3 linked regions of the Stegostoma tigrinum genome follow. The protein of the gene in region 3 interacts with the protein of the main gene of each other region in a pairwise test. Links are inferred from orthologs where the notes say so. Each region holds a gene or a part of one and is shown on either strand. Other genes may lie near its edges.

The links.
Region 1: the proteins of nup58 (region 3) and mis18a interact in binary tests that used the Homo sapiens proteins (3 or more experiments, as listed by UniProt). The link is inferred for Stegostoma tigrinum from reciprocal best matches to the Homo sapiens genes NUP58 and MIS18A.
Region 2: the proteins of nup58 (region 3) and homeobox protein PKNOX1 interact in binary tests that used the Homo sapiens proteins (3 or more experiments, as listed by UniProt). The link is inferred for Stegostoma tigrinum from reciprocal best matches to the Homo sapiens genes NUP58 and PKNOX1.

The regions. Positions count from the first base shown.
Region 1 is NC_081365.1:24,796,223-24,803,280, forward strand, and holds the start of mis18a (protein Mis18-alpha), read right to left. Parts: upstream 3,084-7,058; 5' UTR 3,042-3,083; coding exon 2,858-3,041; intron 1,602-2,857; coding exon 1,538-1,601; intron 1-1,537. UniProt on the Homo sapiens protein: Required for recruitment of CENPA to centromeres and normal chromosome segregation during mitosis.
Region 2 is NC_081365.1:428,676-436,084, reverse strand, and holds the start of homeobox protein PKNOX1, read right to left. Parts: upstream 3,067-7,409; 5' UTR 1,720-3,066; coding exon 1,691-1,719; intron 1-1,690. UniProt on the Homo sapiens protein: Activates transcription in the presence of PBX1A and HOXA1.
Region 3 is NC_081359.1:76,633,045-76,640,834, forward strand, and holds the start of nup58 (nucleoporin p58/p45), read left to right. Parts: upstream 1-4,698; 5' UTR 4,699-5,015; coding exon 5,016-5,083; intron 5,084-7,790. UniProt on the Homo sapiens protein: Component of the nuclear pore complex, a complex required for the trafficking across the nuclear membrane.

The sequences.
Region 1 (7,058 bases), on a different chromosome or scaffold from region 3:
CCCAACACTGATCCCTGTGGAACACTACTGGTCACAGTTCTCCATTTTGAGAAACTTCCTTCCACTACAACTGTCCGTCTCCTGTCGCCCAGCCAGTTCTCTATCCATCTAGCTAGTATACCCTGGATCCCATGCGGCTTTACTTTCTCCAGCCTATCATGGGGAACCTTACCAAACACCTTACTGAAGTCCACGTACATGACATCTACAGCCCTTCCCTCATCTATCAACGGAGCAGGCTCAAAGGGTTGAATGACCTAATTCTACTTCTCTATCTTATGGTTTTAGTGCTGGAAAGGTAACATTATTCATTGGCGCCCGGTTTTGTTTAGACTACCCATTCTTTTGGAAGATTTTGTAGATTGTTTGTCATTTTTACAGGACACGAGATTAACATGTTACTATGTTTACAGAATCCCAGACATTGTATTCATCCAATTCTGGCAACTGACATTTTATTCATCAAGTCCATCCACAATGAATAGGATATTGCATCCTTTACAGTATTTCCAATAGTTTGCTGAATTGTATTTCTATTCCATTGTCAAAGAAGTGACCATATGTCTGCTATCAATGGACATACACTAAAATTGCTAGCTATATCGCCGGCATCCTCTAAACAGAAGGAATGAACACATTTTTTAAAATCCAAAAGGAAATCAACCTCCAACCTAGCCAAATCCAAAGACTTTAATGCTGGGTCAATAATCCCTGTGCCAGTTGAAAAAAGTAAAAAAAGTCTGAGCTTCATAGAAATTTGAAGGATGAAAATACCTGGAGTTACTGCAAACATATGTTTAGTGCACAAACGCACTGGAATGAAATGGAAGAATTTTCCTTTATGGAAAAAGGTTAAATGAAGAAAATTAGAACACTGCTCAGTAAAATAGATTCTTTGTAACAGGGAACACATGCTATTTTGTTCAGTTAACCTATAAGACCTATTTTCTGAACATTCTGCTTTAATGATGCCACAAGGAAATGTCACATTGGTTGCAGTTGAAAAGTCACTTGCAACATCGATCTGACTCTATAAATGGAATATATTTGTCCAAATTTTGCAGTAAAAGGCAAACAAACAGTGCCACAATTCACTAAGCAAACAACTGTCCACAGATATTTTAGTGGATTTTCATGCAGTGACTCGAAGCAATTAAAAATCTATTTTGGTGTGGCACTCTGCATAGTGGATCTGAGACTAGCTGAAGGAGCATGTGTCCAGGAAACTGAAGAGTTTCAACCAAGGCACACAGAACTAGAAGGCCCAAATTTGAACTTTTTATTAAACAAATGTTAAATCATGTGGAGAAGAGAAAAGAAAGATGGAATTAAGAGACAAAGATAAAGCCAAAAGAAAACAATTTTTCCAAAAATAATTTCAAACAATTAAAAACTAAAGGACTATGAGCTTACAGAAGCATAGTTTAATTGCTATAAAAGATTTGATAGAATGAATGGACTTTGTTGCATCCACCACATTTAAAAAAGACTTTCCTTCACTTGTACTCAAAAATCTGCACTAAGTCAACATACTTACCAACCAGACTCATCTGCAGTGTCTACCTTCTGTTCTTTGTCTACTTTGATATTGTTAGTAACACCTAGAGAAGAGCAACAGGTTATCAGCTTACGAGTCTAAAATTCAGGTACAATGACCAGCTGCCTACAAAAGGCCATGTTCTTTGTGCATTCAACCACCTAAAATATTCAATATCAAAATAAAAGTGGATCTATCTTTAAAAGACAATACAATATCATGTATGACACTTTAGAACCTCACCTTAAAAACATATCTGAGGAAGTAACCTTCTTATCCCTGTTACTCTATGATCCTGACAAGAGTCAAGCAAAGTTATAACTTAAATATACAAAATAAATATCAAACTTCAATTAGATCTGGCACACAAGCCATTCTACTATGGCTTATCCAGCAGCCACAAAGGTTTGAAGTGATTTCAACAAAATTCACAGTGCTTACATGAATGGTGTTCCCGCACACAAAGTTGTATGCTTAATTGGCTTTTTTTTAAAATAACCATTAGTCAACTTGGAAATACAGTGCTCATTAAAGTATGTAATCACCACTTGTGAGTATGACTTTTCCCCATCCCTGCTTCACCATTAGACTTTCCAACATAAGGAAAACCCACACAGTCATATTAGCAGAGACTTAAGGCAAATTTTAGTATCTTTATCTATTCAATTACATTTATTTATATATTTTAATACAAAATTAACTATGAGGAGAGTAAAATATATTGAGACTAATGAATGAGAAAATTGCTGCAGATATTGGAATCTTTACTGGCTCCATCCCCGCCCCTTTAACTTGTCTGTCTCCTCTCCACCTATCATCTCCTCTAACCATCTTCGATCCGCCTCCCCCTCTATCCCTATTTGTTTCCGAACCCTCTCGTCCTCCCTTTTTTCTGACGAAGAGTCTGTGCTCCTGATATGCTGCTTGGCCTGCTGTGTTCATCCAGCTCCACACTTTGTTATCTTGGATTCTCCAGCATCTGCAGTTCCCATTATCTCTGTTTCAATTTCTTGTTCAGATTTGTTTTATTAAAGTCTAAATTTCAAACATCAAAAAGTGTCATTTAACCACCTTGTGCATCAATTTTAAAAACTTAAATGGTTCCCCCCCACCCCAAATTTCCAGCATTAATGCAGGAATTCTCTCAAGCACTCTCTGTGGACTGGGCATCCTAAACCAATTCTTCCGCCCCCAATCCCCACAACACACTGGGACACATACATCTCCCACCTCCCCCCCTTCAAGCCATCCCCACAAAACACCGGAACACACCCCCCTCCCATCCCCCCGGGCTAGGGGACAACTCCACCCCCCACTCACTGCTCAGATAGATCATGTCCTCTTTCGGGTTTGCTCCGACCCAGGCCAGCGAATCTCCCACCGGTAGCCGACACTGTGAGCAGAGGAAGACGGCCGGCAAATCCGAGTCACCGCTGATGAAAGTGCCCGAATCCTTGTTGTCCGTTTCATCGTCCGTTACCAAATCCACCGTCACTCCCGCCATCTTTCAAATCACTGAGCAGGCGCAGAGAGCGTCTGCAGCCGGCTACACGCCTGCGTACGAAGCCACCCTCACCGCAATGTGCGCGCGTGCGCAGCCCTGTCCGGCGTGTCTCGTCCCTGTTTGTGGAAAGTCGCAGCGCAGTTCTCGTGAGTCCACCCCCATCGCACCTGGCCAGGGATGGGCAATACTATGATAAAACACAATGTGAGCAGACCAAAATAGTTTTTAAGAAGGGTCACTGGACCTGAAATGCTAACTCTGTGTTCTCTCCACACATACTGACAGACTTCATAAAATCCCAACAGTGGGGAGAGAAGACTTTCAGCCCATCGAGTCCACAATGACTCTCCATAGAGCATCTGAGCCAGACCCAGACTAATTTACCATGGCTAATCCACCTAGCGTACACACCCTGGACACTGCAACCACTGCAATAAGATGGCCGATTCACCTAACGGGCATAGCTTTAGACTATAAGAGGAAACCAGAACCACAAACAGAAACTCACACAGATGCAGGGAGAATAGGGAATCTAATAAAAAAAACATGCAAACTCCACACAGGCAGTCATCCAAAGCTGGAATCAAACCCAAGCCCCTGGCATTGTGAGGCAGCAAAGATAATCACTGAGGCACCATGCTATCCCACCACGGTGACCTGTTGAGCTTCTCCAGCATTTTCTGTTTTCCTTTCAGATTTGCAGTATCCTCACTTTGTTGTTTTATATTGGCTGTATTAGTTGTTTTCCTGGGCATCATAAAACCAAACAGTTCTGCTATAATGCATGTTCTGGCAATGCGAATTGTTTATAATGCGACTGACAAATCAGGGAACACTATTTCTAAAACGTGAACTTGTGGTGGCTATAATGCAATTCCATTGGTGTACAGATGACCTTATTGGTGATGTTCAGGAAAATATTTTTAGAAAATATTGTAGGGGAAAAAAAATCAGATCTCAGGATTCTCCTCATTCTGGATAATGCGCCAAGCCATCCTCCCGCCATTGGTGAGGTTTCTGAAAACATCAACGTTCTATTTCTACCACCAAACACAACCTCTCTCCTTCAACCCAGGGACCAGGGTGCAATAGCAGCTTTTAAGCTTATTATTTCAGACGAACATTTCAGTGGCTGATTGCAGCCACTGCGGTGGATGAGGACAGTGTTCCTCAATGTTGGAAGAGCTTTAACATCGAGAATGCAGTTGACATTATCGCGGATGCCTGAGGTGATGTCAGCAAGGACTGTTTGCATGCAGTTTGGTGGAAGTTTCTTAGATTTTTTTCAAGATTTTAAAGGCTTTGATGCGTTAGAGGAGCTCTCTAGAATCAAAGAACGTTATGTTGAATTTGCAAAGCACGTTGGATTTGAAGAAGTGGAGAGTGAGATGTTGAAGAGCTGCTTGAGTCCCACAGTGAAGACTCTCTACAGCTGATCTACAACAACTTGTCGCTGAGGGGGAAATGGAAGCTGGGGATGAAGAAGGTGAAGTCCATGATGCAGCACCACGAAAGCTTTCCACTTCTGTTTTTTCTTCTATCCTGAGGGAAATTGAGAAGCAGTTGCACCTGTTAAAGGACAATGAATACATTGCTGAATGCAGCAGGGTAGCAGTTCAAGGAATAAGACCTTACTTGGCAGCATATGAAGAGTTTCTTCATGAAAGAAGAAAAAGGGCAAAGCAGCAAATACTGGATATCTTATTCCCCCCAAGAAACAGTCAGAAGACAATGAACCACATCCATCCACTTCTGGATTAATTATTTTTTGCCCAAACCCTGCAACCACAGCTGCACCTGAAGATCATGATGATTACCCTCAGCGTCTGCATTAACAACACAGCAACCTCAAAACCTACTCCCCCATCAAGTCATCTTGACATTTTTTAAAGGGAAGGTGTTAAGTTTACTTTTATTTTTTCATTTAAACTGTGCCATCCTTTGTGAAAGGCTTTTGAGTGATTTTCAAATGATTTTGAGTGATAATTTTGGTAGTTTGCCTCAACTCCACTTTTCTCATAGATCCTGTTATTTCTATAGCACGATTTTCTATAATGTGACCATGCAGGGGAACACAGACTACTATGTTATAGCAGAGCTGACAATTTGTAGGGTGTTTTGTGTCAGACTGAATGCTTGTCAGCTATCTATCTTGAGAATGCTCTCATCTAGGGCAAAGACGAGGGACACCCTGGCCTGCCCACACATCACAGTCCTCCATTCGGACTTCCCAGTTTAGTTAAGTCATATAACGAATGCACAGAGCTACAGTTGGCCTGGTTTCAGGATGTTCCAGAGAAGTGACTGTTAAGATCAGTCCACTCTGGGTTTTTATTGTCAGCGTTTATTAGCCGCCACCTTTCGAAAGTATCCACCAGGCAGAGGAGATAGTCACACATTGTTGTAAGTGCCACATCGTGTTCATGCCTGTGGGCCCGCATGCTGCAGGTCCAAGGCAGAAACCTCCTCTGTGTTCCTCAGAAGGTGAGCCTGGGGCCATGAAGGACCTAGTTTCTGTGTGTTACCAAGGCGATGCATGGCTGAGGTATTGCCAATGGAGAAGCTGAGTGCTGATGGATTTACATTGCTGTTATCCTAGACAAATACAGCTGCCTCAGCACTGACTATAAAAGAGGTTTCTCCCTGGTGTCCAGCAGGGTGAAGATGCAACCCTTGAAGATTTTCATTAATAACAGAAATATGTCCTCATATCATCATCAACTGTACTGCCTATCTATATCAAGGATGTGAAGGTGCCAGTGTTGGACTGGGGTGGACAAAGTCACCAGGTTATAGTCCTTCGGAAGGCAGCCCCTTAACTGCACCTGATGAAGGGGAGATGCTCCAAAAGCATGTGTGATTTCAAATAAATCTGTTGAACTATAACCTGGTGTCATGTGACTTCTGACTTTGCCCATATCAAAATCAACAATTCTGTGACAGCGCAGGCGAGATGTGGAGGTATTGTAAATGGACTATCTAATCCAGAGACACAGGTAATTTTCTGGTGAACCAAGTTTGAGTCCCACCACAACAAATGGTGAAATTTGATGTCGATGAAATCCAGAATTAAAAGATAATCATTAAACAATTGTCAAGAAAATCCCTATCTAGTTTATTCATGTCACAGAATCTCTGCAGTGCAGAAGGAGGTCATTCAGCCTATTGAATCTATAATGACCCTCCAAAGAACATCTCACCAAGACCAAGTCCCAACCCTATCCCCACATTTACCATGGCTAATCCACCTAACCTGGATGCCCCTAATTCTGAGGAAGGGTCGTTGGACTCAAAACATTAGCTTTGATTTCTGTCCCTAGGTGCTGCCAGACCTGCTGAGCTTTTCTAGCAATTTCTGTTTTTGTTCCTAAAGATGAGGTGTTACCCCAATCCAGGGGAGATGATTGTCTAATGGTATTATCATTGGGCTGTTAATCCCAAGACCCAGGCAGTTGGTGGAGTTTGAATTCAATAAAAAAAACTGGAATTAAGAGTCTAAAGGTGACCGTGAATCCATTATGGAATAATGCATTTGGTTCACTAACGTTCTTTAGGGAAGGAAACTGCCATCCTTACCCAGTCTAGACTACATGTGACTCCAGACCCATACCCACAGCATTGTGATTGACTCTTAAATACCCTCTTGGCAATTATGGATGGGCAATGTATCCAATTATGGATGGGAAATAAATAGCAACCTAGCCAGGGATGCCCTCATCCTGTGAATGAATTAAAAGAAAACCTGGTGAAAACACAACACAGGATGACTTGTACAAACAGCTAAAACTTTAAGTGATAAACAGAGCTAAGCAATTCCGTTTCCAACAAATCATACTGAAGTTCAGTAGTTCTGTAGTCCACATCTAGTCATGAGTGTTGGTAGACAATTAAACAGCTCAAACAAAGAGGAAAAGACTTTAGAAGTATCTCCATTCTGGATGATTGGAGTTCCCAACACAACATTGCAACAATTTTCATCCAGAAGTGCCAAGTGGATGCTCCATTTTGGTCTCCTGC
Region 2 (7,409 bases), on a different chromosome or scaffold from region 3:
CATCAATGACCTTCCTTCCATAAAAGGTAAGAAGTGGGAATGTTCGCCGATGATTGCACAATATTCAGCACCTATCATGGCTCCTCAGATACTGAAGCAGTCCTTGTTCAAATGCAACAAGATCAAGACAATATCCAGGCTTGGGCTGACTAGTGGCAAGTGATACTTCTGCCCTTTTTGACATATATTAATTAGACTTCGGGGAGCCAAAGCACAATTTCAAAACATGATGATACAGAATGTGAAAACTTTGTGATCTGAGGAGGACAATGTAGACTTCAAAAGAATACCAATAAATTGGTGAAGTGAACCGGCAGGTGGCAGATGAAGTCAAATGTGAAGAAGTGTGAAGTGAATCATTTTCGTAGGAATAATATAGAAAAACAGTGGTGGTATTGTTCTAAAGGAGCCGTAGGAGCAGAGGAACCCGGGAGTTACCTGTACATAAATTATTGAAGGTGGAGAACAAGTTGATGCTGGTTAACAAAGCATTCAGATTTCTATGCTTTATCAGTGCACAGAGTACAAAAACAAGCAAACTGTTAAACTAGAGCAAAATACAGATTCCATCTGATCTGGAGTATTTTGGTGAGTTCTGTGCATCACATTTTAGTTGGTATGCAAGTACAGCAAGTAACTAGAAAGGCAAATGGAAATGTTATAATTTAAATGAGATAGAATATAAAAGCAGAGAAATCTTGCTGCACTGTACGGAGCATTGCTGGGACCACGGCTAGACTACAGTGCACGGTTTTGGTCAATATTCTTAAAGAGAGATATATGTTTATTCAAATGCATTCAAAGTAGGTGTATTTGTGTCATTCCTGGCATGCAGACTCAGTCTTTGACGAATAGCTGAGCAGGTTGGACCTGTATCTATGAGAGTTTAGGGTACTGTGAGGTGATAAGACCTGACAAGATAGATGCTGGAAAGATGTTTCCCCTTTTGGAAGAATTTAAAACTGGAGATCACATTTTAAAAGTTAGAAATCTCACATTAGGACAGAGATAATGAGAATTTTTTCTCAGTAGTTCATTAGTCTGTTGAATGCTCTTCCCAGAGACCAATGAAGGCTGGGTCATTGAATCAGTTCAAAGGATATTATATCAATTTTTGATCAGTAAGGGAGTCAAGGGGGAGATGGGCAAGAGGGCATATAGGAAAGTAGAGTCAAGACCATAATGAGATCAGTCATGATCTTGATGAATAGTGGGGTAGGCTTGACAGACTGAAAGGCCTACTCCTGATTTAATTTCTTATCATTTTATGTTCCAATTTACAGAATGGCTACTACACCAGAATTGAAAGCATTACTCCAAGTGGTGGCTAATTAGGTGCTATATAAATTTAACAATAATGTGGTTTTGTATTTCATTCTCCCAGAAATAAACTCCAGTATTAAATACTCTAAAGCCTCACCTTTGTATATTTGCATTCACTTGATTCATTGTTCTTTAATCCTATTTATTTTTCCTTTACCAAAGAATAAGCAGCTCCTTTATTCTTTTACCAACTTGAACAGCCTCATTCTGTGTTAAATTTAATTTGTCATTTATCACGCATTTCGCAAAGGGAAAAAGCAGGTAACTCTAGGTCAGTTACCTTAATGTCTGTTATTATCGAATCATACAGTACAGAAACAACCAGTCCATGCTGACCATAATCCCAAACTAAACTAGTCCTACCTACCTAAGCTTGGGCCATTTCCCTTCAAACATTTCTCATCCATGTACTTATCCAAACATCTTTCAAATGTTGTAAATGTCCCTGCATCCACCACTTGCTCTGGAAGTTCATTCCACACACGGACAACTCTGTAAAATAAAAATGGTCTCTCATGTCTTTTTAAATTCTTTCTCTTTTAACCTTAAAAATATGCCCCCTAGTCTTGACAGCCTCCATCCTAGGGAAGAGACGTCTGCCATTCACCTTACCTATCCTCCTCATGGTTTTATACACCTCTTTAAGGTCACCCCTCAACCTCCTTTCTCCAATGGAAAAAGTCTCAGCTTACCTAGCCTCTCCTTACAACTCAAACACTCCATTTTTGAGAAGTTGTTAGACTGTATTATAAAGGATGTAATAGCAAAGCATATAGAAATATTTTGACGGTCTTAGCGAAAACTTGTCCCTCGGGTTGTGAATGCAGTTGCCTGTTAACTCGCTGAGCTGGTTGTTCTGTGGTGTGCAGATGTTTCGTGACCATTCTAGACAACGTCATCAGTGCAACCTCTAATCAAAGCTTTGGTGTTTTGTTCTGTTCCGAATTTATATATGATCCTCTGGCATGGTGGGTCTTGTCACTTACGGTTCTGTTTTTTAGCAGCGGTGTATACACAGTGTCTATTGCTATGTGGTTGTTAATGGGGTCCTGTGTTGAGAACCAGGCTTCCAGAAATTCCCTTGCATGTCTGTTGTTAGCTTGTCCCAGTATAGTCACTTTGTCCCAGTTGAACTGATGGCCCTCATTGGCTGTGTGTAGCAAGACAAGTGAATATCGGTCGCGTCTTTTACTACCAGCTGGTGTTTGTGCATCCTGGTCGTCAGTTTCTTCATTACACTTGATTCATTTAATTCTGTATATCACGTTAATCCTGTTTGCTGTTGGTATGGGGTCTTTAGTCTTTGATAGCATTTGACGTAGTGTTGATGTAGATTTGTGTACAATATAATCTTATGAGGTCTCAGTACTCTGGTTGTCATTCCTGATATATTTGTGATGTATGGTAGCGATGCTGGTGTCTTCTTTTGTACTATGTTCTCTGACTGTTGTTTGTTTTGTAGGTGAAACTTCTTGGGTATTCGGATTTCTTGGTTGTTGCAACATATTACGGCTTGTTTAAGTAGCACCTAAATGCAGAGTTTGCGTATGGTGGGGTGGTTGCTATTGAAGTTAAGGATTTTGTCCATTTGTGTGGCCTTCCTGTACACTTCATTTCGGCATTAGTTAGTCTCTCTACCATTCCGTCGAAGAATGGGAGCTGTTTAAGTACTGATAGAACTGCGGATGCTGTAAATCAGGAATAAAAACAAAAGTTGCTGGAAAAGCTCAGCAGGCCTGGCAGTATCTGTGAAGAAAAAAAAGCAGATTTAACATTTCAGGTCTGGTGACCCTTCCCAAAACATGAACATTGATTTTTTTTTTTCTTCACAGATGCTGCCAGGCCTGCTGAGCTTTTCCAGCAACTTTTGTTTTTGAATGGGAGCTGTTTGTTGTTTTCTTTGCGTCTAGTGAATTTTATGCTTGCAAAGATGTTGTTAACGAGTTGGTGGGTTTTTTCAACTTTTGTGCATTTGATTATTATGAATGTGTTGTCCACTTATCTCATCCACAGTTTCAGCTGGATTACAGGAAGGGCTGCGATATCCAGTCTGTGCATCACTGCTTCCACAATGAGACCTGATATGGGTGATCCCATCAATGTGTCGTTGATCTGTTTGTATATTTGGCCAGTGAATGTGAAGTGCGTTGTGAGGCAGAAATCTAGTATTTCAGTAAGCTGTCCTTGCTGAGGTTGTCGTTCGTGTCCCAACTCAAACTGTGGATAATATAAATGGACGACACATTTGTAATAATCAAATGCACAAAAGTAGGGAAAAAACCCATTAACTTGTTAACAACATCTTCGCAAGTATAAAATTTGCTAAAGAGGATGAAAACAACAAACAGCTCTCATTCTTAGAGGTAATGCTAGAGAGACTAACGGTGAATTCCAGACCCGTGTACACAGGAAGGCCACACACACTGACCTATTCCTGAACTTTAATAGCAACCACCCCACCATACACAAACAGAGCTGCATTAGGACATTATTTAAACAAGCCGTATCACACTGCAACACCCCAGATCTCAGGAGAATGGAAGAGGTACACCTGCACAAAGTTTTCACTGACAACAGATACGCAAGAAGTTTTGTCCGCTGGGGCCTACAAAACAAATGACAGTCAGAGGACACGGTACAAAAGAAGACACTAGCATCGCTACCCTACATCAAAAATATATCAGAAGTAACAACCAGACTCCTAAGTCTGCGTAAGATCATTAACTGCACACAAACCTATTTCAACACTATGTCAAATGTTGTTACAGACTGAAGATCCCATACCGACTGTAATCAGGACTAATGTGATACACAGAATCGCATGCAGTGAGTGCAAAAACATTAAATTGAACAAATGGGGAGGATACCGATGACTGGGATACACAAACACCAGCTGGCAGTAAAAAGACATGGCCAATATACACTTGTCTTGATACACACAGCCAATGAGGACATCAGTTCAACTGGGACAAAGTGACTATAGTGGGAAAAGCGAACAACAGGCATGCAAGGGAATTTCTGGAAGCCTGATTCTCAACACAGGACTCCATTAACAAATACATAGAAATAGACCCCGTGTACACACCACTGCTTAAAAACAGAACCGTAAATGACAAGACCTACCACACCAGAGGATCTAATAAATTCAGAACGAAGCAGAACACCAACATTTTGATTAGAGGTCGCACCGATGATGTTGTCTAGAATGGTAATGAAACATCTGCACACCATGGAACATAACTGCTTATAGAAATATTGAATACGATATGCAGAATCAGCATGGGTTCATGAAAGGGAAATCATGCACATAACGTATTTGGATTTACAGAAGACATTGATAAAAGGCCACACTTCAGGTCAGCTAATAAGCCAGTCATGTTGTACGTTATGTATTAGTACTGACAGAGGATTGGCTAACTAAGACGGAGATTTGCGATAAGGGGGCAGTTTTGGGATAACAACCTGTAACAAGTGGTTTGGCGTAACAAGTGGAATCAATGCTGGGTCTGCAATTATGAGTAATTATGCTGTAGCCAAATTTTCAGATGACACAAAAATAGGTGGAAAGGCAAATGGTGTGGATGACACAAAAAGTGTCTATAGCGGAATATAGTCAGATTAAGTGAGTAGGCAAAAACCTGGCAGATGGAATATAATTTGGGAAAATGTGGAAACCGTTACCACTGAGGGCTGTCAAGTCTGGGCCATTTAGCGTATTCAAGGCTGAGATAGATTTTTAAGCAGTAAGGGAATCAAGGGTTATGGGGAAAATGCAAGAAAATGAAGCTGAGGGTTAACAGATTAGCTATGATCTCACTGAAGTAAACCTAACAGGCTGATTGGCCTTCTTCTGCTCATATGTCTTATTAAATCTATTTGCCTTCTTGTCATTTGGTATCATTTCCACGTCTACTTTCAACTTGGTATCAAACTGCTAATTTCACAATCACATCTCCAGCTGCTCGATCCAAATAATTTCTGCAAAGTATGGTGTATAACTGTAGCTCCTGAAGGATAACACTTGGTGCCAAAATAAGAAATTTCAACTGCTAATCTGTTCTCTTTTCTAATCTTCCAATCCAGAATGGCCTATGTCAACACCGCAGGGATTCTATGACTCGACACACTGTGGCCTTCATTGTGCAGCACCTGTTTGAAATTAGCATTAGGCAGACCAGATTTTCAAAAGTCAAAACTGGGGCTGACATAAAAATTTGGGAAGTTCAGACTTTGTGATGACTGACATGTTGGGCAACCAATGCCAGGATTTTATGGAGCAGTATTTAAACGTGAGTGATCATGAGAAGTCATTTCCCAGAACACATCCAACCAGAGTTGGTCTTTAAAAGTTACATCAACAATACAGTTGGCAGAGTGTGAAGGTTGTGACAACCCCTTGAAGACACTGAAGGAGACACAGGGGCAGGGATACAGAGGTGTTGTGTGCAGAGAGGGGTGTTTCAGTAATGGTCTGCAAAAATGCACACAGATTTTCAGTCCACAGATCTGTTTATATTTGACAAAATGAGAAAGTGAAAACAGGAACATTTTCTTATTAAGAAATTGCCAAGGCACTGAGCCATTTGATGAAAAACTGGAAAGTCATGCAAACTACAATTATTGCAATGCCCGTTAACTCTTTGTTCATTGCCTACTTCAAAAAAAAATCACTAAAGTTGACAAATCTTTGGATATCCTTGTGGATAATGATGGATATCAAAAAGTGAGAGATAATATTTTTGCCAAAAGAATCGATGTGGAAGACACTTATTGATTTAAAGTTGTTTTCAAAGGGAATTAGATGAAGAGTGGACGAGGAGAGTTTTCTGTCTGATGCCAAGAATATTATTTCCTGATGTTTTGATTTCAGTGCTATCTGTATAGATGCCATCCAGCCTGGCACAATAAGCCTGTTTTAATGCTTTAACCATTTAGCGTCCTCACACAGCTTTTGTCTCTCAGCTCAGTTTGAGTTTCACTGTAATTTTTAATCAGGATGTAGTTTATTGTTGAATTACAGTGTGCCTGGGCTATAAATCCTGGGCCTGTCCATTAGGCTGCTGCTTGATGCCCAAACCCGGGCTGGAGAGCGCACAAACCACTGCTGCTTTTTAATTAAAAAAGAAAAAAAAAGCACCCGACCGCCCCGCCGCCATTGTCCAATTGCGCCATTTTCCAACCAACCAGGAAGCTCCGCGGGACTGCGCCCCGCGACCCACCCCCGCTGCGCGGTCCCGTCACCCCAGCATCAAAGACGGGCACGCGCACGAGCGCGCCTCACCCTCTCTCACCCCTACCCCGGCCCCGCCGCCATCCGCAGGCGGCGACACAAAGGGAAAGGCCCCGGGCTGGGCCGAGGTTGGTCGCCGCTCCCGTTCTGAGTGAGGACGGGCTGCGGGAGCGGGTGGTTTGTTCCCCCAGCCCTCCGTCGTGCCCCGGGCCCGCTGGGCGGGAGGCGGGCAGCCAGGCGGCGGCGGCGGGAAGCGGGGCCGGCCGCGGGCGCTGACTGACAGCTTACCTGAATGCCAATCTTCATCAGACTGACACCTCGCTGCAGCAATCAGCCCCACACAGCGCACTACGTAAGCACGTACACGCCGCGCCATGCGCCCCACAGCCGGCACGCAACCTGCTGCATATTCATCAGGGGCTGGGCGGTGCTGCCCCAATGCCCCGCCTCCCGCAATGGACAGACCGCTGCATATTCATCAGGGGCGGGGCTTTCGCTCGTCTTGTCCCCGCTTCCAGTCCCGGCCCCTCCCCCGACCCCATCCCAATCCCCACGCCCACCTCCCGACCCCCACCCTTGGCATCCACACCCCTACCTCCCAAAGACCACCCCAATCCCCACCCCCACCCTTGGCATCCACACCCCCACCTCCCAAACACCACCCCAAAGCCCATGCCACCCTTAGCATTCACACCCCGACCTCCCAATCACCATCCCCACCTCCCAACTCCCACCCTTAGCATCCACTCCCCTACCTCCCAATCACCACCCCAATCCCCACACATACCTCCCAAACACCACCCCAATCCCCACACCCACCCTTGGCATCCACACCCCCGCCTCCCAACCCCCACCT
Region 3 (7,790 bases):
GAGAGTAAAGAAGATAGGTGGAAAGAGTGTTGGTGGGGAGGTAGGGAGGGGATAGGTCAGTCCAGGGAAGACGGACAGGTCAAGGAGGTGGGATGAGGTTAGTAGGTAGCTGGGGGTGCGGCTTGGGGTGGGAGGAAGGGATGGGTGAGAGGAAGAACCGGTTAGGGAGGCAGAGACAGGTTGGACTGGTTTTGGGATGCAGTGGGTGGGGGGGAAGAGCTGGGCTGGTTGTGTGGTGCAGTGGGGGGAGGGGACGAACTGGGCTGGTTTAGGGATGCAGTAGGGGAATGGGAGATTTTGAAACTGGTGAAGTCCACATTGATACCATATGGCTGCAGGGTTCCCAGGCGGAATATGAGTTGCTGTTCCTGCAACCTTCGGGTGGCATCTTTGTGGCACTGCAGGAGGCCCATGATGGACATGCTTCAGGACATGGTCAAGCAGTTTCAAGGCCGAAGAGATTACAAGAGAGTTGCAATGGGAGAGAGATTCCCTGAGGTTGGTCCGGAGGGAGGAGGGTAAATGCTACACCTGTCCCCACACCTTCTCCCTCACCCCCATCCCAGGCCCCAAGATGACATTCCACATTAAGCAGAGGTTCACCTGCACATCTGCCAATGTGGTATACTGCATCCACTGTACCCGGTGCGGCTTCCTCTACATTGGGGAAACCAAGCGGAGGCTTGGGGACCGCTTTGCAGAACACCTCCGCTCAGTTCGCAACAAACAACTGCACCTCCCAGTCGCAAACCATTTCCACTCCCCCTCCCATTCTCTAGATGACATGTCCATCATGGGCCTCCTGCAGTGCCACAATGATGCCACCCGAAGGTTGCAGGAACAGCAACTCATATTCCGCCTGGGAACCCTGCAGCCATATGGTATCAATGTGGACTTCACCAGTTTCAAAATCTCCCCTTCCCCTACTGCATCCCAAAACCAGCCCAGTTCGTCCCCTCCCCCCACTGCACCACACAACCAGCCCAGCTCTTCCCCCCCACCCACTGCATCCCAAAACCAGTCCAACCTGTCTCTGCCTCCCTAACCGGTTCTTCCTCTCACCCATCCCTTCCTCCCACCCCAAGCTGCACCCCCAGCTACCTACTAACCTCATCCCACCTCCTTGACCTGTCCGTCTTCCCTGGACTGACCTATCCCCTCCCTACCTCCCCACCTACACTCTCTCCACCTATCTTCTTTACTCTCCATCTTCGGTCCGCCTCCCCCTCTCTCCCTATTTATTCCAGTTCCCTCTCCCCATCCCCCTCTCTGATGAAGGGTCTAGGCCCAAAACGTCAGCTTTTGTGCTCCTGAGATGCTGCTTGGCCTGCTGTGTTCATCCAGCCTCACATTTTATTATCTTGGCCGAGATCTTAGTTTGTTTGTATAATCCCATTTAGATTTGCAAGTAAATCCATTTAAGAAAACACCAGCAAGACATGAGTCTTAAACAAGATGAAGGTTTGTTTATTACAAAACATTGCTTCAAGTTCCTTAAGTAAAAGTAATAAAGTAACTTTATTGAAATAAAATTCAAGTCAGATTTTTATGATATTGTTGCAGGTCTGTACTTTGCAGGTAAATGTTGGTTATCTGAAGTGAGGGTTAAAATCAAAGAGTTATAATGTCTTCTGAAATAAAACAGTCAGAGTTTAACTTTGTAGGTTCACTCAAAAGTTGGACAAATTGGCTGAGCAGTTTAAGGAAGTGAGTAAAGGGCTTCTTTTTACTAGTTCTGGAACAACAACATTTGAAAACTATTGGGATTTCTTTTCAACAGAACAGGGATGGATTGCTGAACACCTTCCTCAATAACTTACAGTGAGTGAAAACCCAACTCTCACACGCAAGTCATTTTGTTCAATCGAGAACTGTGGCCTGCAGCTGTCTTCACAGGTTCTCCTGAGATCTCTGTGCACAATGACTGACTGCATCCCATCCAGACCCTTTGTTTTAATTTGAATCAATCTGTTTTGATACATTATGAGAGATCTCTGGAACAGGTAGGACTTGAACACTTGCCTTCTGCCTCAGGGATAGGAACACTGTCACTGCACCACAAGAGCTTCAGACATCCAGACTATCTGATCCAAATCAGCCGTATTCCAAACATTTGAATCGTGCTTCCATATTAGACATTGGGTTAGCTCATGTCTGAAGCATAGTCCCATTCATTTCTTTTAACCTTTTAACTTGAGACAATTAAGAAGTTAATTTGAAGAGCTTCCATTCTTCTAGGTTTGGTGAGATAGGATAGAGCTATTTAGATACCCAGGGAAGTTATTGTCAATGAGTTTCTATTTGTCCTGATGGAAAAATTAATTAAAAGTTAAACACTAGTGATGCTTTTTGAGAAAAGTCCAATCAGTTTCCTCCAGCTGGCTAATTGAAGTTGAACTCACGAGAAGTCGTGTTACCTTTTGGTATACATGTTTGAAAGCTCGTGTATCCATTTTTTAAAGTACAATAGTTTGTTACAATCTATATAACATGTTTCTGACAAAATAAATTAGCACTTCCTTGGAAACAAAAATAAATTGCTGGAAAGCCTAAGTAGGTCTGGCAGCATCTGTGGAGAGAAAGCAGACTTAACAACTCAAGTCCAGTGACCCTTTTTGCGAACTGTAGCACAATTGTTATATGTGCTAAAGATGGTATCAGGGGAGGAGTAAGTGATCAATGGTGGTGGAGCCCGAGAGAGAAAAAACACTAATGGGCTGACAGAGGAATGGGTAAAGGCAAGCCTGAGAGAATCAATAGCTGCTAATGGGGAACTTTAATGGCTGACAATGGGTAGCAGCCCACGTGATGATAATGCCTGATGTGCAGGGGTTGGGGTAAGGACATGAGAAAAGGGTTTTAACCCCTTCAATGATTGAACTTGATATTGAGACCTGAGGCTGCAAGAAATGTTGTTCTTTCCTGTTTTCACTGAACTTCATTAAACACTGCATTAAGCCCAAGACAGAAGTTAGCCAGGGAACATGGTGAGGTGTTGAAGTGGCAGGCAACAGGAAGCTCGGTGTCAGAACGTAGGTATTCTGCAAAGCAGTTGTCTAGTCTACATTTCATCTCCCCTGTGTACAGGAGATCATAACTGTGAGCAGAGAATACAGCAGTCTAGATTCAGTGAAGTGCAAGTAAATTACTGCTTAATTTGGCAAGTGTGTCTGGGGCCTTGGATTGTGAGGCAGGAGAAGTAAACAGACAGGTGTTACACCTTCTGTGATTGCATGGGAAGGTGCTGTGGGACTGACAGCAAAGGTCCTATGAGCTGAAGTGATATTAAGTACAAAGGAAGATTCTTATAATTGTTGGAGCCTTGGTCACCCCGCAGACATGTCCATAATCACAATTACATCACATCCTTGTACAACTGTTTGCACTTTTTATTTGTCTTAGTGCAAATGCTCTGTGTATTCAACTAAACACCTCTGACATTTAAAACAAAATTGTATGCTAGCCTATTTGTTGTTAGCCCTTGTTTCCCCTGTCTTCCACATTTCTATTTCTCATTTCCATCTTTGTTTCCCTCAGTCTTCCTTCCCCACTCAGGTTCCTGTCCTCTTGCCACTCGAGTTTAAAGACTTCCCTATGTACAAACAAATGTGAGCATATTGATGCCATTTCTGCAGTGGTGCAATTTATCCAGCTTGTACAGGTCTCTTCTTCTCCAGAATTGGTCCCAATGCTTCAAGAATCTAAATCCCTTTCTTCTACACCATCCTTCTGCCACACAATCATTCGGTCTATTTGTTTCATCTCCCCTTGGCCTTCTCAAGAAAAACACCCAACAGCTCCAATCTATCCTAACTGAACTTTCTTGTTGGAGGAACTATTTTCATAAGCCTCTTCTGCACGTGCTTCTTAAAGTGTGGTATTCAGAATCATAGACAATAGTCCAGCCGAGGTCTAACCAAGTGTCTTATATAAATTCAGCATATCTTAATCTATGGCCCTTTTATTAATCTTTTAAAATTTTATATGTTTTATTAACTGTTCCTGTCTGTTCTGTCACCTCTAATGACTTAAGCATTTTACACCACAGCCTCTCTGCTCGTACACAATCTTTGGAATAGTACCATTTGCTTTATAAGGTCTCTCCATGTTCTTTGGATCAGTTTTCCACATGAAGCAAGGACATTGGGGACATTTAAGAGACTGCTGGACATGCATATGGTCACAGAAATTTGAGGGTGCATACATGAGGATCAATGGTCGGCACAACATCGTGGGCTGAAGGGCCTGTTCTGTGCTGTACTGTTCTATGTTCTATATCCAGTCAAGCAGATTGATTGAGCTTCGTTCTATCTGACATGGCTGAAGAGTTCAGCTTACATTTTTGTGCTCAACAACCGACATAGAGATTGAACCCAAAACTCTGAAATCTAGAGATAAGAGTTACACCAATTGGCCTACGAGAGCCATGTTTTTTCCCACCACCTTAATTATATTTTCCCACATCATTCTGAAGAGAGTGTGTTTGAACGTACCCACGTCTCCGACCGTAAATGGTCCCCCAAATGCCCTGGTCCTCCCATACCTTCACTTTCAACGGGTCATCCTAAACATTGGCCTCATCCCCCTCACAATGCCCTATGACACTGATCTTCCCATCCTCTCACAACCAAAATCTTCCTCCATCAACGCATGTCCCCTCCGTCTAGACCCTTGCTGACTGAGTCTTCCTCCGTAATCCTCCAGTATCCCAACATGCCGCAGCTGGAAGGCCGGTAACTTCCTCTCCTGCTGACCCGAGCCGCAGTTAACCCGCGGAATCGATGATCAGTTTAAAAGGAGTGAGCGGAAGCTACTTTCACCTATCAATTTCTCCCGGTTTAACGGCAGTTTCGATCCGGTAGCTAGCTTGCTTTTAAAACAGTTTTTTTTGTTTATCGGATGGTGTTTCCTCTGTGTGTGGGAGGGAAGCTGGTTGTGACCACGAGAAAGCGGCGTCTTCCGCACCAGGGCACTACAGAACTAAGGCCACGGTTCAGCTCGTCCAGAAATACAGGATGACAACTGGATTTGGTTTCGGTACCACGGCCGGTAACACTGGCGGCTTCACTCTCGGAGTGTCCAGGTAAATACCTCATGGCGACGTGTCTGTGGCTTTTGTTCCGTTTCATTTAAGCTGAGAACTGATGGGTTGAGTTTATAAGCAAACTTGTGTCCGAGTTACAAAGTTACCTAAGTCATGCCTTCCACAAAATAAATAGCATGACTTGTTCCGATAAGTCAGTACACATTGTTTGTGATCAATTTTAAAATCATCTCAAGTTCTCCAGTTTACTGATGGTCTTAGTTTTTATCTCAAGTATTGTGCGTTTTGTGAATTATTGCACCAGACTTCTTATTGTGCATTAAATTGTGTTAAACTTTTCCCATAGTAATCGTTGGCGAACAAAACAAAGTCATTCGAGGCGTTGTGCCCATGCTTGTAAGAGCTTTGCTAGTCCGCTCCCCATATTTACTTGGATAGTTTTTTTTATCCCTTCAAATAATTTTCTGAGATTAATAAGGTGTAGAGCTGGATGAACACAGCAGGCCAAGCAGCATCAGAGGCTGAAGAAGGGTCAAGGCCTGCAACGTCAGCCTTCCTGCTCCTCTGATGCTGCTTGGCCTGCTGTACTCATCCAGCTCTACACCTTGTTATCTTAAATTCTCCAGCTTCTGCAGTTGCTACAATCTTAGAAACAATTTTCTGAATCTCTTTCGAAAGTCACTACTGATTCAACCTCTGCCATAGTCACAGGAAATGCATTCCCGGAACTAAATAATTCATTAAGAGTACCACTTGTATCCCCCTAGTCCTCACAGATCACCCCACCAACCTCCGGATACAATGCATCATCCTCTGACACTTCTGCCATCTACAATCTGACCCCACCACCAAAGACATTTTTCCAACTCCACCCTTGTCTGCCTTCCAGAGAGACCACTCTCTCCGCGACTCCCTTGTCTGCTCCACACTCTCCTCCAACCCCACCACACCCAGCACTTGCCCCTGCAACTGCAGGAACTGTTACACCTGCCCCCACACCACCTCCCTCACCCCCATCCCAGGCCCCAAGATGACTTTCCACATCAAGCAGATGTTCACCTGCACATCCGCCAATGTGGTATACTATATCCACTGTACCCAGTGTGGCTTCCTGTACAAGTGGAGGCTTGGGGACCGCTTTGCAGAACACCTACACTCGGTTTGCAATAAACAACTGCATCTCCCAATCGTGAACCATTTTCACTTCCCCTCCCATTTCTTAGACGACATGTCCATCCTGGGCCTCCTGCAGTGCCATAATGATGCCACTCGTAGGTTGCAGGATCAGCAACTCGTATTCTGCTTGGGAACCCTGCAGCTCAATGGTATCAATGTGGATTTCACCAGCTTCAAAATCCACCCCCCCATCCCAAAACCAGCTCAGCTCATACCCGCCTCCCTAACCTGTTCTTCCCCTCACCTATCCCCTCCTCTCACCTCAAGCCGCACCTCCATTTCCTACCTACTAACCTCATCCAAGCCCCTTGACCTGTCCGTCCTCCCCAGACTGACCTATCCCCTCCCTACCTCCGCGCACACATTCTCCTCTCCACCTATCTTCTCCTCTATCCATCTTCGGTCCGCCTCCCCCTCTCTTCCTATTTATTTCAGAATCCTCTCCCCATCCCCCTTTTCTGATGAAGGGTCTAGGCCCGAAACGTCAGCTTTTGTTCTCCTAAAAATTCTGTTTGGCCTGCTGTGTTCATCCAGCTCCACACTTTGTTATCGCTAGGTCTTTACCATTCGCCTCACTTCTATGACCCCTTCTTCTTGATCCCTCTGCCAATATAACTGTTTTTAATAATCAAATTTGTCCATGTCCCTTATGATAGAATCAATCACACAATGCAGAAACAAACCCATTGGTCCATCTTGTCTGTGCCAACCAGGCATCCCAATCTGACCTAGTCCCATTTTTACCAGAATTTAGCCCATACTCCTCTAAACCTTTCCTATTTTCACAGCAATCGAGTTGCTTTTTAAAAGTAGTAATTGTACCCGCCTCCACTACTTCATCCCACAGTTCGTTCCACGCACTCTCCACCTTCCACGTGAAAAAGTTACCCCTTGGGTCCTTTCTAAATCTTGCTCTTCTCACCTTTAAACATATGCTCTCTAGTTTTGGACTCCCCACCCTAGGAAAAAGACCTTGGCTATTCACCCTCCCAGCCCCTCTTAATTTTATAAACCTCTACAATGTCACTCCTTGGCCCCTGATTCTCAAAGGAAAGAAGCCCCAGCCTATTCAGCCTCTCCTTTTAAGGAAACCCTCCAGTCTTGGTAACGTTTATATAAATCGTTTTTGTACCCTCTCAAGTTTAACAACATCTTGGAATGGAGACTAGAATTATATGCAGTATTCTAATAGTAGCCTCACTAATGTCTCCCTTTTGTCAACAGTTCCCAGGTATTAAACAATTCTGATCAAAACTCTTGACAACCTTTACTTTTCTAAGGAAAACCTCAGTTTTGCTGTCCTGTCCGTATAACTGAAGTGTCAGACTTGTAGTCATTCCTGTAAATCTTTTCTACACTCTTGGTAATGTTTCCCATCTTTCTTGTATAGATTTGACATTCACATTTGTTCATGTGGAATGTCTGTATGTTTGTAAGGATTCTGTTGTATTCCATTTTGAAACAACTGAAGCACTATAATCTATCTTGGCCTTTATCTGACTTGGTTATTATCTCCTTTAAAGAATGTAGTAATTTTGTCAAGCCTGATGTTTCTCCACATGAAACCGTG